2 linked regions of the Macaca mulatta genome follow. The protein of the gene in region 1 purifies or fractionates together with the protein of each later gene. This does not show direct contact. Links are inferred from orthologs where the notes say so. Each region holds a gene or a part of one and is shown on either strand. Other genes may lie near its edges. The genes, in order: MED12 and VDR.

What was found.
Region 2: the proteins of MED12 (region 1) and VDR purify together in Homo sapiens (affinity purification with mass spectrometry; 3 studies listed by BioGRID, with this or other methods). This does not show direct contact. The link is inferred for Macaca mulatta from reciprocal best matches to the Homo sapiens genes MED12 and VDR.

Annotation. Positions count from the first base shown.
Region 1 is NC_133426.1:77,584,896-77,592,390, forward strand, and holds part of MED12 (mediator of RNA polymerase II transcription subunit 12), read left to right. Parts: coding exon 1-113; intron 114-922; coding exon 923-1,104; intron 1,105-1,278; coding exon 1,279-1,389; intron 1,390-1,513; coding exon 1,514-1,768; intron 1,769-2,149; coding exon 2,150-2,296; intron 2,297-2,457; coding exon 2,458-2,557; intron 2,558-2,687; coding exon 2,688-2,824; intron 2,825-3,043; coding exon 3,044-3,175; intron 3,176-3,542; coding exon 3,543-3,669; intron 3,670-4,082; coding exon 4,083-4,312; intron 4,313-4,684; coding exon 4,685-4,765; intron 4,766-4,896; coding exon 4,897-5,067; intron 5,068-5,272; coding exon 5,273-5,417; intron 5,418-5,584; coding exon 5,585-5,635; intron 5,636-5,961; coding exon 5,962-6,080; intron 6,081-6,266; coding exon 6,267-6,410; intron 6,411-6,855; coding exon 6,856-7,019; intron 7,020-7,222; coding exon 7,223-7,354; intron 7,355-7,495. UniProt on the Homo sapiens protein: Component of the Mediator complex, a coactivator involved in the regulated transcription of nearly all RNA polymerase II-dependent genes.
Region 2 is NC_133416.1:54,955,321-54,962,815, forward strand, and holds part of VDR (vitamin D3 receptor), read right to left. Parts: intron 3,849-7,495; coding exon 3,664-3,848; intron 3,409-3,663; coding exon 3,288-3,408; coding exon of another isoform or gene 3,261-3,287; intron 651-3,260; coding exon of another isoform or gene 624-650; coding exon 452-623; intron 1-451.

The sequences.
Region 1 (7,495 bases):
CAAATACACAGTGCCTGTGATGCGGGCTGCCTGGCTCATTAAGATGACCTGTGCCTACTATGCAGCAATCTCTGAGACCAAGGTTAAGAAGAGACATGTTGACCCTTTCATGGGTGAGTAACTCCTAACACCAGGTGTACGGCTGATGGCTTCAAGGAGGGATAGAGACACCCTTGCAAACATCCTCCTTCTTAATCTAGATTCCTTGTTTCTGCTTGTTTCTTGCATTTGCTTGATCAGTAAACACTGAGAAATTTGAGTGTCTACTGTGCACATATACTGGTCTACAAAAACGTCCAGTGCATAATCTCTGCCCCTAGGATACTAGTAGTCTAACAGGGCTGCTAAGGTATATGTACAAATAACATAATTAAATATAGAAGGTGGTGAATGTCAAGCTAGGAGCAGAAGGTTCTTTGAGTGGACAAAAGATTACTTTCTTATGGGGATACCCAGAAAGGCTTTAGGAAGGTGGGATTTGACTAGAGACAAAGGATGAACTGAATTTACAAATATGGTGGGTGATTGGGAGTGGGGTAAGGTATTCTAAGTAGAAGGATATTCTTTTTTTTTTTTTTTTTTTTGAGACAGAGTCTTGCTCTGTCACCCAGGCTAGAGTGCAGTGGCAGGATCTTGGCTCACTGCAACCTCCACCTCCCGGGTTCAAGTGATTATCCTGTCTCAGCCTCCCAAGTAGCTGGGATTACAGGTGCCCACCCCTGCGCCCGGCTAGTTTTTGTATTTTTAGTAGAGACGGGGTTTCACCATCTTGGCCAGGCTGGTCTCGAACTCCTGACCTCGTGATCCACCTCAGCCTCCCAAAGTGCTGGGATTACAGGCGTGAGCCACCGCACCGGCCAGTAGAAGGAAATTCTAAGCAGAAGGATAGTATCAAATAGCCCTTTTTCCCTGTTTCCTCCAGAATGGACTCAGATCATCACCAAGTACTTATGGGAGCAGTTACAGAAGATGGCTGAATACTACCGGCCAGGGCCTGCAGGAGGTGGGGGCTGTGGTTCCACGATAGGGCCCTTGCCCCATGATGTAGAGGTGGCAATCCGGCAGTGGGATTACACTGAGAAGCTGGCCATGTTCATGTTTCAGGTAGGGAGTAGGGCATGCTGTGTGGGGCATTAGGTTGAGCCTGAACTTGTACTCTGCCAATAGAGAACAGAATCTGCTTGCCACCTTGCCCCAGTTGTGGTTCTCTTCATCTTTTCATTTACTTTATCTGCTTCATCTCTAATAGTCCCCTCTTCCCTCCCCTGGTACCCATAGGATGGAATGCTGGACAGACATGAGTTCCTGACCTGGGTGCTTGAGTGTTTTGAGAAGATCCGCCCTGGAGAAGATGAATTGCTTAAACTGCTCCTGCCCCTGCTTCTCCGAGTAAGGCTTGGAATTTTGGTGGTGGTGGGGCAGGGGGAGTCTAAGAAGGATTTAAGGAAGAATAAAATGTCAGAGCAGGGTCCCCTGGAGAGAACTAGGGGCTCTGATGGTCATGTCTTCACAGTACTCTGGGGAATTTGTTCAGTCTGCGTACCTGTCCCGCCGCCTTGCCTACTTTTGTACACGGAGACTGGCCCTGCAGCTAGATGGTGTGAGCAGTCACTCATCTCATGTTATATCTGCTCAGTCAACAAGCTCGCTACCCACCACCCCTGCTCCTCAGCCCCCAACTAGCAGCACCCCCTCGACTCCCTTTAGTGACCTGCTTATGTGCCCTCAGCACCGGCCCCTGGTTTTTGGCCTCAGCTGTATCCTACAGGTAGGTACTAGGCGGGCCCAAGGAAGCATTGAGAGATAACCTGAGAAGAATTGGGTGCCCATCCCAGAGTATAGGGGTAATTCCAAATTGGATGTGGGAGTAGGTGCTGAGTACTTGCTTGGAGGTGGTGGTTTCTTGGTAATGGGGTGTTAGTCCCCTTTGGGGGTTTTGACCAGCCTCTCTCTCCCTTCCAGGGCTAAATAGTAGGCCCAGAGCCTTTTAGGAAAGTGAGTGAAGGGAGGGGATCGGGTGGAGTGATGCCTGTCTTGGGGGCCCAGTCAGAATAACTTTGGATCTGGAATCTACGGGTTTGGTCTTAGAATGGGATTCCAGAGGGGTAGCCATGTGAACGAGTTGGACTTAGCTGTTTCTATCTGGCAGACCATCCTCCTGTGTTGTCCTAGTGCCTTGGTTTGGCACTACTCACTGACTGATAGCAGAATTAAGACCGGCTCACCACTTGACCACTTGCCTATTGCCCCCTCCAACCTGCCCATGCCAGAGGGTAACAGTGCCTTCACTCAGCAGGTATGTCTGACCACTCGCCTGGTACTCTCAGATTGGGCTATGAGGCTAAAGTGCTCTCTCAGAAATAGTGATTTGGAGTCTGGTACTATTCTTCTAGCCTGGGGCTCTGGCCTTTTGTATGCCTTGGTACATCCTTATAGCCTTCCTTTTTAACATTGCAGGTCCGTGCAAAGTTGCGGGAGATCGAGCAGCAGATCAAGGAGCGGGGACAGGCAGTTGAAGTTCGCTGGTCTTTCGATAAATGCCAGGAAGCTACTGCAGGTATGTGTCGGAGAACAGATAATAGGAAGTATGTTTGAGGAAAGGATGGAGATAGTAAGGACATGTAGATCTGAGAGCCAGAATGCACTGGGCCTCTAGTTCAGTCCCCTTTACCACTTTTCCTCCTTAGGCTTCACCATTGGACGGGTGCTTCATACTTTGGAAGTGCTGGATAGCCATAGTTTTGAGCGCTCTGACTTCAGCAACTCTCTTGACTCACTTTGTAACCGAATCTTTGGATTGGGGCCTAGCAAGGATGGGCATGAGGTAAGCGAAAAGGGGAATAGAAGGAGCAAAAATCATTGCAAGAGCAATAATATATCTGAGGGGAAGTCATGGTGAGGCATTGAAAGCAGAGCATATCTGCAGAAATGATCTTACTGGGCCCAGAATGTTTTATGATGGAGTGCAGTCTTCAGGAAATTGGAACTCATTTCTTTGTCCCCACCCCTACCTTACTCCTCCCTCTCTTCCTTTGGTCTCCAGATCTCCTCAGATGATGATGCTGTGGTGTCATTGCTATGTGAATGGGCTGTCAGCTGCAAGCGTTCTGGTCGGCATCGTGCTATGGTGGTAGCCAAGCTCCTGGAGAAGAGACAGGCGGAGATTGAGGCTGAGGTTAGAGGGCAGAGATAAGAGAATGAGATTGGCCAATGGGAAGGAATTTACTGGGGTTGGAGACCAAGAGATGGAGGTGGTGGAGGGACCAGAGTTGAAGGTGTGAGAACAGAGGAAAGAAGTGGAAGAGAACCTAAAGGCAAAGTTACGGACATGAGGTGAAAGTAGAGAAGAGTGGATTGTTATCAGAATTAGAGATAACATCAAGGCTTCAGTTGGGAGGTGGTAAAGAAGATGGAGGTCAGCAGGGGAATGAAAATGAAAAGCATGGGGTAGAGGTCAAGCAGGTAGTAGTTTAAGGCCTACACATTGAGGAGTGAAGAAGCAGGTAAAAGTCAGTTCTACAATTTGTTCTGTCATCTTGCAGCGTTGTGGAGAATCAGAAGCCGCAGATGAGAAGGGTTCCATCGCCTCTGGCTCCCTTTCTGCTCCTAGTGCTCCCATTTTCCAGGATGTCCTCCTGCAGTTTCTGGATACACAGGCTCCCATGCTGAGTACGGACCCCTACCACTCTCTAGTTGCGTCTGCCTAGACTCAGTTACCCGCCACTGTCATCAAAAAGTATATTTCTCTCTTGGGCTCTATGCAGAATGACTTTTAGATGTAGTTCTAGTGATCCTCTTTAACTGATCATCTTACAGTTAAAGTAGAGAAATACAGAGAAGGATTAAAACAAGAGCTTGTGATTGAAGCATTTTCACTGCGTAAATCGCAACAAAGATATTACATTCCTTTCTGAGATGGTGTGTGGGGCAGCATGTGGGGTAACCAACCACGCTTTGTCCCTCGACAGTTTCTGGGATTTTTATTTTATCACTCCTATTAATTGCCTTAGGTGTGTCCCTCTCTCTTTTGGCCCACCTTTTTGTGTTCTCCTAACTCATGTTTCCTCATTCCCTTCCTCCAGCGGACCCCCGAAGTGAGAGTGAGCGGGTGGAATTCTTTAACTTAGTACTGCTGTTCTGTGAACTGATTCGACATGATGTTTTCTCCCACAACATGTATACTTGCACTCTCATCTCCCGAGGGGACCTTGCCTTTGGAGCCCCTGGTCCCCGGCCTCCCTCTCCCTTTGATGATCCTGCCGATGACCCAGAGCACAAGGAGGCTGAAGGCAGCAGCAGCAGCAAGCTGGAGGTGAGTGGGCTTTTCCTTGCCCTAGATCGTTTCTTCTGACATTTCTATCTTCATGGCTCCCAGAGGCCTCTAAGAGCGTCTTTTGCGTGGGGCAGGGGGGTAGTATTTTCTTAGCACTTGGTGATTGACCAAGCACTATCACATCAATTGTTTCATTGGTTCCTCCCATCAGCCTTGTGAGGTACTCTTGTCCCCATTTTCAAGCTGAAGGAAGCAGAGGCCTATACTGGTTAAGTGATTGGATGACTTGACTCCAGATCCTGTGCTTTCCACAATCTGGTCTTCTCTCTCCAATTCCCCCGTGAAGTTTTCTAGATGGTGGGAGCCGCTCCCTAGGGCTAAAGCAACTTTGCTTATGTTCTATGCCCTCAGGATCCAGGGCTTTCAGAATCTATGGACATTGACCCTAGTTCCAGTGTGCTCTTTGAGGACATGGAGAAGCCTGATTTCTCAGTAAGTTCAATCCTGAGCGTGGCAGAATCTGGCTCCTTTGATCTTCCCATTATGCCTGCGTTTGGCATTTCTTTACCCCCGCTCATCCCCTTTCCTTCTTCTCATGTTCTGCCTTCTCGCCTTTCTCTCAGTTGTTCTCCCCTACTATGCCCTGTGAGGGGAAGGGCAGTCCATCCCCGGAGAAGCCAGATGTCGAGAAGGAGGTGAAGCCCCCACCCAAGGAGAAGATCGAAGGGACCCTTGGGGTTCTTTACGACCAGCCACGACACGTGCAGTATGCCACCCACTTTCCCATCCCCCAGGTACTGTTCCCCAGCACCTGGTGATGATCTGTTTTGAACCTAGATTGCTGTCCAAGGAATTTGCTGAGGGGTTGGAGCTGTTCCTGAGGATGTGGGTTGGGAAAGGGAAGGGCTTTAGCATGTGGATGCTGAGGGATGTGGAGCATGATTTCAAGAGGAGGGAAGGAGATCGGTGCTGGAGTCTGATGGTGCTGCTGGGATGCAGGAGGAGTCATGCAGCCATGAGTGCAACCAGCGGTTGGTCGTACTGTTTGGGGTGGGAAAGCAGCGAGATGATGCCCGCCATGCCATCAAGAAAATCACCAAGGATATCCTGAAGGTTCTGAACCGCAAAGGGACAGCAGAAACTGGTGGGTTTGAGGCTCCTTAAACAGATCTCCCCCAAAGAGTGCCCTAGTCAGTCTTCCCTTCCCCAGCATAGGGAACTCCCCAGTCATGTCCCAATGTCCTGTCTCTTGGAGTCTCCTGAGAGCTCTAGTCCTTTTGAAACTTCCCCCCTCATTCCCCCCCTCTACAGACCAGCTTGCTCCTATTGTGCCTCTGAATCCTGGAGACCTGACATTCTTAGGTACCTCACAGTAAGCCCCATACTGCCCTCCCTCCCTCTCCCTTCCCTCCCTCAACCTAGCACCTCCCTGTACATATTCCTTTAAGGTCCACATAGTCTGTGGTCCTCTAAACCTTTGCTTCACTGTCCCCTTCCCTTCATTCCTCCCCCATCCCTTCCCTGACCCTCCCTTCCCTGTTTCCCTCTTCCTTCCTTCCCTCCCTCCCTCCTTCCCTCTCTCCCTCCCTCCCTCCCTCCCATAGCCTTCTCTCCATACCCCACTCCCTACCCCTAGTCAACTAGTTATCTTCCCTATCTTGACTGGTCCCTTTCAACTGTCCCCTCAGGTGGGGAGGATGGGCAGAAGCGGCGACGCAACCGGCCTGAAGCCTTCCCCACTGCTGAAGATATCTTTGCTAAGTTCCAGCACCTTTCACATTATGACCAACACCAGGTCACGGCTCAGGTGTGGGCCTAAGCCCAGCCCCTTTCCCACATTCTGGCCTCCTCTCCTGTTTTCCTTTTCTTCCCTATCTTCTCCCCGCTAGGCAGGCTAAGCCTCCTGGTCTCATCCCCTTCCACTGTCATCCTTTCCTGCTTCCCTGGTTCTTTCTTCTCTCCACTCCCGTCTCACTCCCACTGCCCTTATCAGGTCTCCCGGAATGTTCTGGAGCAGATCACGAGCTTTGCCCTTGGCATGTCATACCACTTGCCTCTGGTGCAGCATGTGCAGTTCATCTTCGACCTCATGGAATATTCACTCAGCATCAGTGGCCTCATCGACTTTGCCATTCAGGTGGGGAAGTTGGGGAGATGAGGGTGGAGGAAGGTGTTCGTGCCATATAGGGGCTATGGAGGGTCATAAGGACAGGGGTAAATGCTCCAGCCAGTTTCCCAGGCTATTTGAAGGGGCAGAAAGACTAGCACGGGGGAAGTGGAACATGAGCTGAGACTGTAGGAATAGAGACAAGTGCTCCCTGGGAAGGCCAAGAGGCAGATTAGAGCATTGGACACAGACCGTCCTCCCACTGTGGAGTTCATAGAACTGTATCCTGGATACTGGTTAGAGGTGGTGTTGATAGACTAAAGGACCGTGGCATAGGGTAACGAGCCCTTCTATCCTGAGGCGGCTCCAGCAGGAAGGGGCTCAGGCCCAGCCTTGCCAGCGTCCGCACAGGAAGGTGGGTTCTATGTAACATGAGGGGCCTCTTTGCATTTCTCACCCCTGTTCACTCTGCTAGCTGCTGAATGAACTGAGTGTAGTTGAGGCTGAGCTGCTTCTCAAATCCTCGGATCTGGTGGGCAGCTACACTACTAGCCTGTGCCTGTGCATTGTGGCTGTCCTGCGGCACTATCATGCCTGCCTCATCCTCAACCAGGACCAGATGGCACAGGTCTTTGAGGGGTAAGCAGGACATTGGAATAAATGAAACAAAGCTCTGGCGAATGCTGGTGGAAGTGGCCTGGGAAGAGCATGCACTTCCTCATACTCTGGGGAAGTGCCTGCCACTCAGATGGGAAAGGAATGGTATTTCCCAGAGGCTTGAATCCGTTTGGAGGAGCCCGCATACCATCTGCTGACCCTCCCAACCTTGCTTCTTCATGCAGGCTGTGTGGTGTTGTGAAGCATGGGATGAACCGGTCCGATGGCTCCTCTGCAGAGCGCTGTATCCTTGCTTATCTCTATGATCTGTACACCTCCTGTAGCCATTTAAAGAACAAATTTGGGGAGCTCTTCAGGTAAGAGCGGTGGAAGGTAAGGGGTAGCAAGTGGGACCTACTCCCTTCTTCCCATAACCACCCAACTCAGGAGGAGAGCATGGCCCGGGACCCTGCTGCCTGTCTAGGGTCATTTGTGGACTGTGTCCTCCACATACTGTT
Region 2 (7,495 bases), on another chromosome or scaffold:
AAATTAGCCGGGCATGGTGGCATGCACCTGTAATCCCAGCTACTTAGGAGGCTGAGGCAGGAGAATTGCTTGAACCTGGGAGGTGGCGGTTGCAGTGAGCCGAGATAGCGCCACTGCACTCCAGCCTGGGTGTCAGAGCGAGACTCCATCTGGAAAAATAAAAATACATACATACATACATACATACATACATTAGCTGGGCATGGTTGTGGATACCTGTAATCTCAGCTACTTGGGAGGTTGAGGCAGGAGAATCGCTTGAATCTGGGAGGCAGAGGTTGCAGTGAGCCAAGATGGCGCCACTGCACTCCAGCCTGGGTGACAGAGTGAGACTCCATTTAAAAAAATAAAAAATAAAAAAAAGGAGTGGTGGATGGGTGATCTCCAGCCCTTCTTACAGCTCAGTCTAGGACTCTGACTCTGTTCCCTAGATACTGCAGAAGTTTCTTACCTGAATCCTGGGATCATCTTAGCAAAGCCAATGACCTTCTGGATGCTGTAACTGACCAGGTCAGCCAGGTGGGGCAGCATGGAAAGCTGGGACAGCTCTAGAGTCAGAGAAGGGTCATCTGGATCTTCTTCACTCAGATCCAGGTTGGAGAAGCTGGACGAGTCCATCATGTCTGGGGGAGATGAGGGAAGAGAAGGAGCTATTTAAGGGTACTTGGACCAGGACCACTCCTGCCAGCCCCTGCAAAGACCTGGTGTGCCCTGGCAGGAGAGCCAGCTGGGAATCCCGCAGTGATGCCAGAGGTCACCCTTCAGCCCAGGCTTCCCTCTGGGACTCTCTCTGCCTCTTTCAGCAGCGTGAGACAGTAAAAGCAAGGAGCCAGAGACACTCAGAGCAATGAGACTTCCTCAAGCAGACCATGTGCTGTTCCTACGGATCTCAATCAGAAATGAATTTGGGACCCATCAACCCATGGAAAAAAATGTTCAACCTTGCTAATGATCAAAGAACTGCAATGTAGAACATCTACACTTTTCACCTATAAACCAGAAACAAAAATGTTTAAATACTGATGCCAGTATTTATAAAGATGTAGGAAATAGGCAATGCCTATGAGGGCTGGGGTGCTAAAGGAGATGCACATTACTGCAGGTAATCTAGAAAGCTATTTGACATTAGTGAAACAATTGTGTGTACTCTTTGACCAGTAATCCCACTTCCCGGAATTCATTGTAAGGGAAAATTTCAGATAAGTGTAAATATTTAGCTATAAGTATACTGTTGTCTTACTAAAACACTGGGAAATAATCCAGATATCCAATGGTAGGGGATTTAGGTACATTATTGTATTCCAAAATACTGTGCAGCCTTTAAAAATTATGTTCTGGATGCATACTAAATTGTAAGGAAAAACAATGCAATATTAAAAAAACAAGTCATCAGATTGTATACAGCAAAATTTCTTTTCTGAATGTACATATGTGTTTTTAAAAAAAGAGGCAAGAGATATATTACAGTGCTAATAGTGATTATCTTTGGGTAGCAGGATTAAAGTATATATATATATAATTTAGTTTATGTTTTCCAAATGTCTAAGATGAACATGTATTACTTTTGTATAATAATTTTTTTAAAAAATAAAAAGGTTAACTTGTTTGAATTTTTAAATAAATATATGCTATACTGAACACACCACTTGTGGGGAGGGCGGTTTAAGCACCTTGAATCAGTGAACTTACAAGAGGGTATCAAAAAACTCCTAAATAGGCAGGGCACAGTGGCTCATGCCTGTAATCCCAATACTTTGTGAGGCCAAGGCAGGCAGATCATCTGAGGTCAGGAGTTCGAGACCAGCCTGGCAAACATGGTGAAACCCCATTTCTACTAAAAATACAAAAATTAGCCAGGTGTGGTGGTGGGTGCCTGTAATCCCAGCTACTCTGGAGGCTGAGGCAGGAAAATGGCTTGAACCGGGGAGGCAGAGACTGTGCCACTGCACTCCAGCCTGGGTGACAGAGTGAGATTCTGTCTCAAAACAAAACAAAACACAAGCAAAAACAAAAAACAACAACAAAAAGCCTCCTAAGTAGTATAGAATTACTATTGAAAGCTGAAATACAGAACAACATATGGATTAAACAGACTGGCCTTAATTGATATAAATAAATATGCTATCAACTGAAAAGAGCAGGAAGGTGAGTACAGAAAAGTGACAAGTGGGAGGGATTCCTACGAGGTGAGGGGCTGGGAGGGTCAGCTGATCATGCAGGGAGCAAGTGTTCTAACTAGTATCTCTGTCCAGGGGCACTGGGACCCTTTCCATCTATTCTGGATCTGGGCAGAGATTCATCACTGAGTATGGAACTGCTTTATCTAAGGTTCTAATTGCCTGGAGGGGAAAGTTTTTTCCCATCCCTGCCCTCCTGCAGACCCCAAGCAGAGGACAGCAGGGTCAGGTTAGGGGTAGAGGGAGGAAGGACAAGAGCAGGGGGCAGATGAGGCAGGGTGATGAAGAGGAAGTAAGAAAAAGGCCATAAGAAGGAAAGCATGGGCGGGGCGCGGTGGCTCACGCCTGTAATCCCAGCGCTTTGGGAGGCCAAGGGGGCAGATCACAATGTCAGGAGATGGAGACCAGCCTGGCCAACATGGTGAAACCCCATCTCTACTAAAAATACAAAAATTAGCCAGGTGTGGGGGTACGTGCCTATAGTCCCAGCAACTCAGGAGGCTGAGGCAGGAGAATCGCTTGAACCCAGGAGGCAAAGGTTGCAGTGAGCCGAGATGGTGCCACTGCACTTCAGTCTAGGCAACAGAGCAAGACTTCATATCAAAAAAAAAAAAAAAAAAAAAAAAAAAGGAAGGAAGGAAAGCATGATGCCTCCCAGACTCTCAGTTGAGCTGGAGGGGACAGGTCCTCCAGGGCCAGAGTGGTCCCCAGAGCTCAGGTGGAAGGTGGGCTGCAATGGGACCAACACATTCTCCTTCCCACTCCAAATTTCACCTTCTGAAGGGCCCAGGATTAAAATATCACTTAAAGGAAGCAGGTCACCTGGGGCCATGGGCTGAAGCCTGGCTTAGAGGAAAAAGCATGGGCCCGGGAGCCCGATGCTGCACAGCTGGAATCCCAGCTTGGCCTCTTCCCCAGTGTGGGCCTTTGGGCAAGTCACCCCCTTCTGTAACAGACGGGCTGTTTTGAGGACACTGCATGGCACACAGTATGTATGTAAGTTTCCATTAGGGAGCCTTCCACCTCCTTCCATCCAGCAGCCCCAGGGCAGGTGGGGTGGACTCCTCACCCCCGCTCCCTTACTCCATGGAGGACTGAAGTCCTGCTTACCTGGAGAGGCGATATAGTGATCTGAGCAGCAGGAGGAGGAGTCCCCAGAGAAGCTGGGAGTGTGGCTCGAGTTGGGCCTGGAAGGATGGCTCCCTCCACCATCATTCACACGAACTGGAGGCTGGAAGGGAAAGATGGGGTCTCAGACCCACATTTTGGGGTCATTTTCCTACCTTGGCCCTGATCTCTGATAGGAATGGCTTTGAGGAAGGTCTATGGAAAGGCGAAGCCTCTCAGTGCCAGCAGTCAGAGCAGCCTCCGTCCCTACCCCAGTTCTGTTCAGGATGTCCCCTGCCCTCTGTCCCTACTCCCTGGGCCCTGGTTCCACTAGTGCTTCTCCTCTGGACCGATTCATCCTCCCAGCAGGTAGACATACCCGGAACTGGCAGAAGTCAGAGTAGGTGGGGTCGTAGGTCTTATGGTGGGCGTCCAGCAGGATGGCAATGATGCGCTGCTGCTCCTCAGACAGCTTGGGCCGCAGACTGTCCTTCAAGGCCTCCTCCTCCTTCCGCTTCAGGATCATCTCCCGCTTCCTCTGCACCTCCTCATCTGTCAGGATGACTGTGGGGTGGGAAGGGGAGTCAGGAGGGCCAGCCAGCAGCTCCTCCAGAAAACCTTCCTCCTGTGGTTGTGGGTAAAGGTCCAAGATAGGAGGGGCTTTAACACTCGGGGCTCCCTCGGGGGTCCTCCTGCCACAGGGACTCCCACTCCACTGTGTGAAGAAAAATTGGGTTTGCTATGGTGGAAAGGAAGGTACACGCAAGAAGAAGAAAAAGACGATTTGAGAGGCGGGATGGTCTGGGCTTTAGGGAGTCGGGGGTTCTCAAGAATGAGTCGTGGGACCTTGGGCAAACTCTCTGGGCTTTTGTTCTCTTGTTTGTAAAATGAGAGATTTGGACCATATAAGCTCTTCCAAGGTTACTTTCTTGTACCTTCCTCCATAAAGTGTGTGTGTGTGTCTGTGTGTGTGTGTGTGTGTGTGTGTGTGTTCACATGCAGGTGGGAGAAGTAATAACACCTGCCTCAAAGGATCAACTGATTTGAGAACTGGATGCATGCCCGGCCCAGAGCAGATGCTCACGAAATGTTAGTTCTCATCTCTCCCCTATCCTGATGTTCCATGAACCTGAAGGAGACATCAGAGTGGAGAAAGGATGCCAGAGCTCTCACAGCGCTGGAAGTGAGATGTGGAGAGGACCCTCTGTGTGGCTATCTCCACATCCAAGTTTCCAGACATGGGACTGTGGAATATAGAAAGACTAGGCCTCTTTGGTTCTCTGCAAAACCACTCCTCCTCCAGCCTGTACAGCCTTGACATTTCTGTCCATGGAAATTTTCAAGTCCTCTTGAAGGCCCCAAAGGGTGAGGCCTTGCAGCTCTAATCTTGGAAGTTCTTTACAGCCACTAATCAGGGTGTTGGGCTGTAGAGAGCTCCAACACCACCTGCAGGCTTGTGCCTGCCTCCCTGTGCTGGGGTAGCTGTGGGGGTTGGGGGGATGCTGGGAGCAGAGGTGCCTGGCACAGCGGCTGGGCAAACAGACCTCCTGGTTGTGGCTTGCTGAGCGCTGATGGCAGGAGTGGGCACCGGGGCCCTTGGCCTGTAGCTACTTGCTCGGTGCTGGTGCTGCCAGGGCATCTGCCCACAGAACTGGGGAGTTTCACAAGAGCAGGGAAAGGAACCAGAAGCCCAGGGTGGGTGAGTTCCAGGCTTCGAGAAAGGTCCATTGGCCCAGGCCCTCAGGTAGGGGGAGGGCGAGATAAGTTGGTGGGGAGGGAGGAAGAGCCTATGCTGGGTGGGAGTGGACAGCCAGTGCCACAGGCATGGCAGGAAAGCGAGTGTTACTGCAAGAGATGATGCTTCCCTCTATGGGGAGCCTGGGAGTAGACCACGCCCAGGTGACTGACTCACCTGCCCTAACAGCTGCCAACTCTCCTCCCACAGTGGGTGTCTGCACAGACCCTACCAGGTCAGGCAGGGTGGGAGAGGAAGGGGCAGGGAGCATCCAGGGAAGGCAATGGGGCTAAGCCCTCACTTGGGGAGCCCAAGATTAGGTGTCTTGTCTTTCCTGCTCACCTGGGGACCAGAGGAGTTAGGGAGGCCTGTTTCTGCCAGCCACACCATGGTGTCTACAGGCATGTAGCTCAGCCTGACTGGACTTTGCTAACTTTCCAGTGATTCTGTGAGGCCATTCTCCTGCCCAGATACTTTTCCCGGCCCCTACTGCTGACCACGTCCAAACTGAAGTTGGCTTCTTACTAACTTTCCTACTTCATGTCTTAGTGCTTCTGGACACAGCCTCTGTTCTGGGCACACTGGCATTGCTGCTGGCCTGGGAACATGGCCTGCTCATACTTGCCCCTGCATTTCCAGTTGTGCTGGGTGCCTGTCCAGCTGGGTCTCCTCTCCCCAATACCTGTATGAGTTCTATAGTTCTTCAGTGCCTACATCATAGCCATCTTTTTCTGTGAAGCATTTTTTGATTGCCCTGAACTGCACCGAGCCTCGTTTTCTTCTGCTGAGCCTCATTTCCTATGCCTGTGACATATTTAGTCTTTCCCACACACATTGACACCCAATTATCTTCTGCTCTGTAAGACTCATGGTTAGCACAGGTTTTAATTCATTACCTATGGAGGGAGCCCAAGAAGTTCAAGGTCTCTTTCTCTAGATTACAAGTTACTTAAGGGCAGGGTCCATGTCTTACAATTCTTTCCTTCCTTCCTTCCTTCCTTCCTTCCTTCCTTCCTTCCTTCCTTCCTTCCTTCCTTTCCTCTTTCCTTCCCTCCCTCCCTCCCTCCTTTCCCTTCCTTCCTTCCTTCCTTCCTTCCTTCCTTCCTTCCTTCCTTCCTTCCTTCCTTCCTTTCTTTCTTTCTTTCTTTCTTCTCTCTCTCTCTCTCTCTCTCTCTCTCTCTCTCTCTCTCTTCCTTCCTTTCTTCCTTTCACAGAGTCTTGCTCTATTACCCAGGCTGGAGTACAGTGGCACCATCTTGGCTCACTGCAACCTCCACTCCCTGGAGTTCTAAGCTATTCTCCTGCCTCAGGCTCCAGGGTACCTGTGTTTATAGGCACACGACACCACGTCCGGCTGATTTTTTTGTATTTTTAGTAGAGACGGGGTTTCACCATGTTGGCCAGGCTGGTCTCGAACTCCTGACCTCAAGTGATCCGCTCGCCTTGGCCTCCCAAAGTGCTGAGATTACAGGCGCGAGCTACCACTCCTGGCCTTTGTTTTATAATTCTTATATTTTCCCCATAAAGGCTAGACCGGATGGGCTACCTGGCTGTGGTGTCTGCTCAATAGTCTGGCACCAAACATCAAATGCATCCACACAGATTACACTAACTGTGTGCAAATCATTTTCCTGGCTCAGGAAAGGCTAGTGAGTACTCCAGTGCTGCTTGTCTCTTGCAATGTAGGGAATGGCACCTGGCACACCAGAGAGCTGAGCAAAGCTGACCTCTTTTATTGAAACAATTGTTATGGAAAGATTTTCAAGACAGAAAACCTTGTAACGGAACACTTTTAACGTCATATAACCTTTCCCTGATGATTCAGAGGTATCATTCTGAATAATTACTGAACATTGCAGGACAAGGTTACGGCCTCGGAGTTGTCGGAGGCTGTATGCCCCGCGTTGCACGGCTCGGCGTGCTGGGCTTTGGAGTTCTTGGGCTACTTTTCTTGCTTCCAGTGTCCACCTCTCTGTTAAGCTATGCGTTGTCTCTTCTTATTGGTGTCTGCCTCCGGGAGTGTGCCTTTCTACCCCTTAAGACTTACTTTTGATCTCTTGGGAGCTAGAAGTTCTGGTGATCAAGTTTGATGTAATAAAAGGAAAATATTCTTAATGCTGGATAGCACATATAGACTTTTTCTATCTATGAGGCACTATTCTAAGAGCTTTTTGTATATTAACTCATATATTTAGTCCTCATGACAACCCTTTAAGGCAGGTGCTATTGTTACTCCCATGTAGCAGATGAGGGAGCTGAGGCCCAGAGAGGCTTTCTACCTTTCTCAAAGTCACACAGCTAACAGTGGTGAAACTGGTATTTAGACCTGGGCAGTCTGGTTCTGGAGTGGAAGGTCATAACCACTAGCCTCTACTGTGTCTGATTACATGTGGCTATAAGCGGACCTTGGCTTTCAGCCCTGGAGTTTTGACACACATTGTGTTCCAATCCATCTGAAGAGTGAGAAAATAAAATT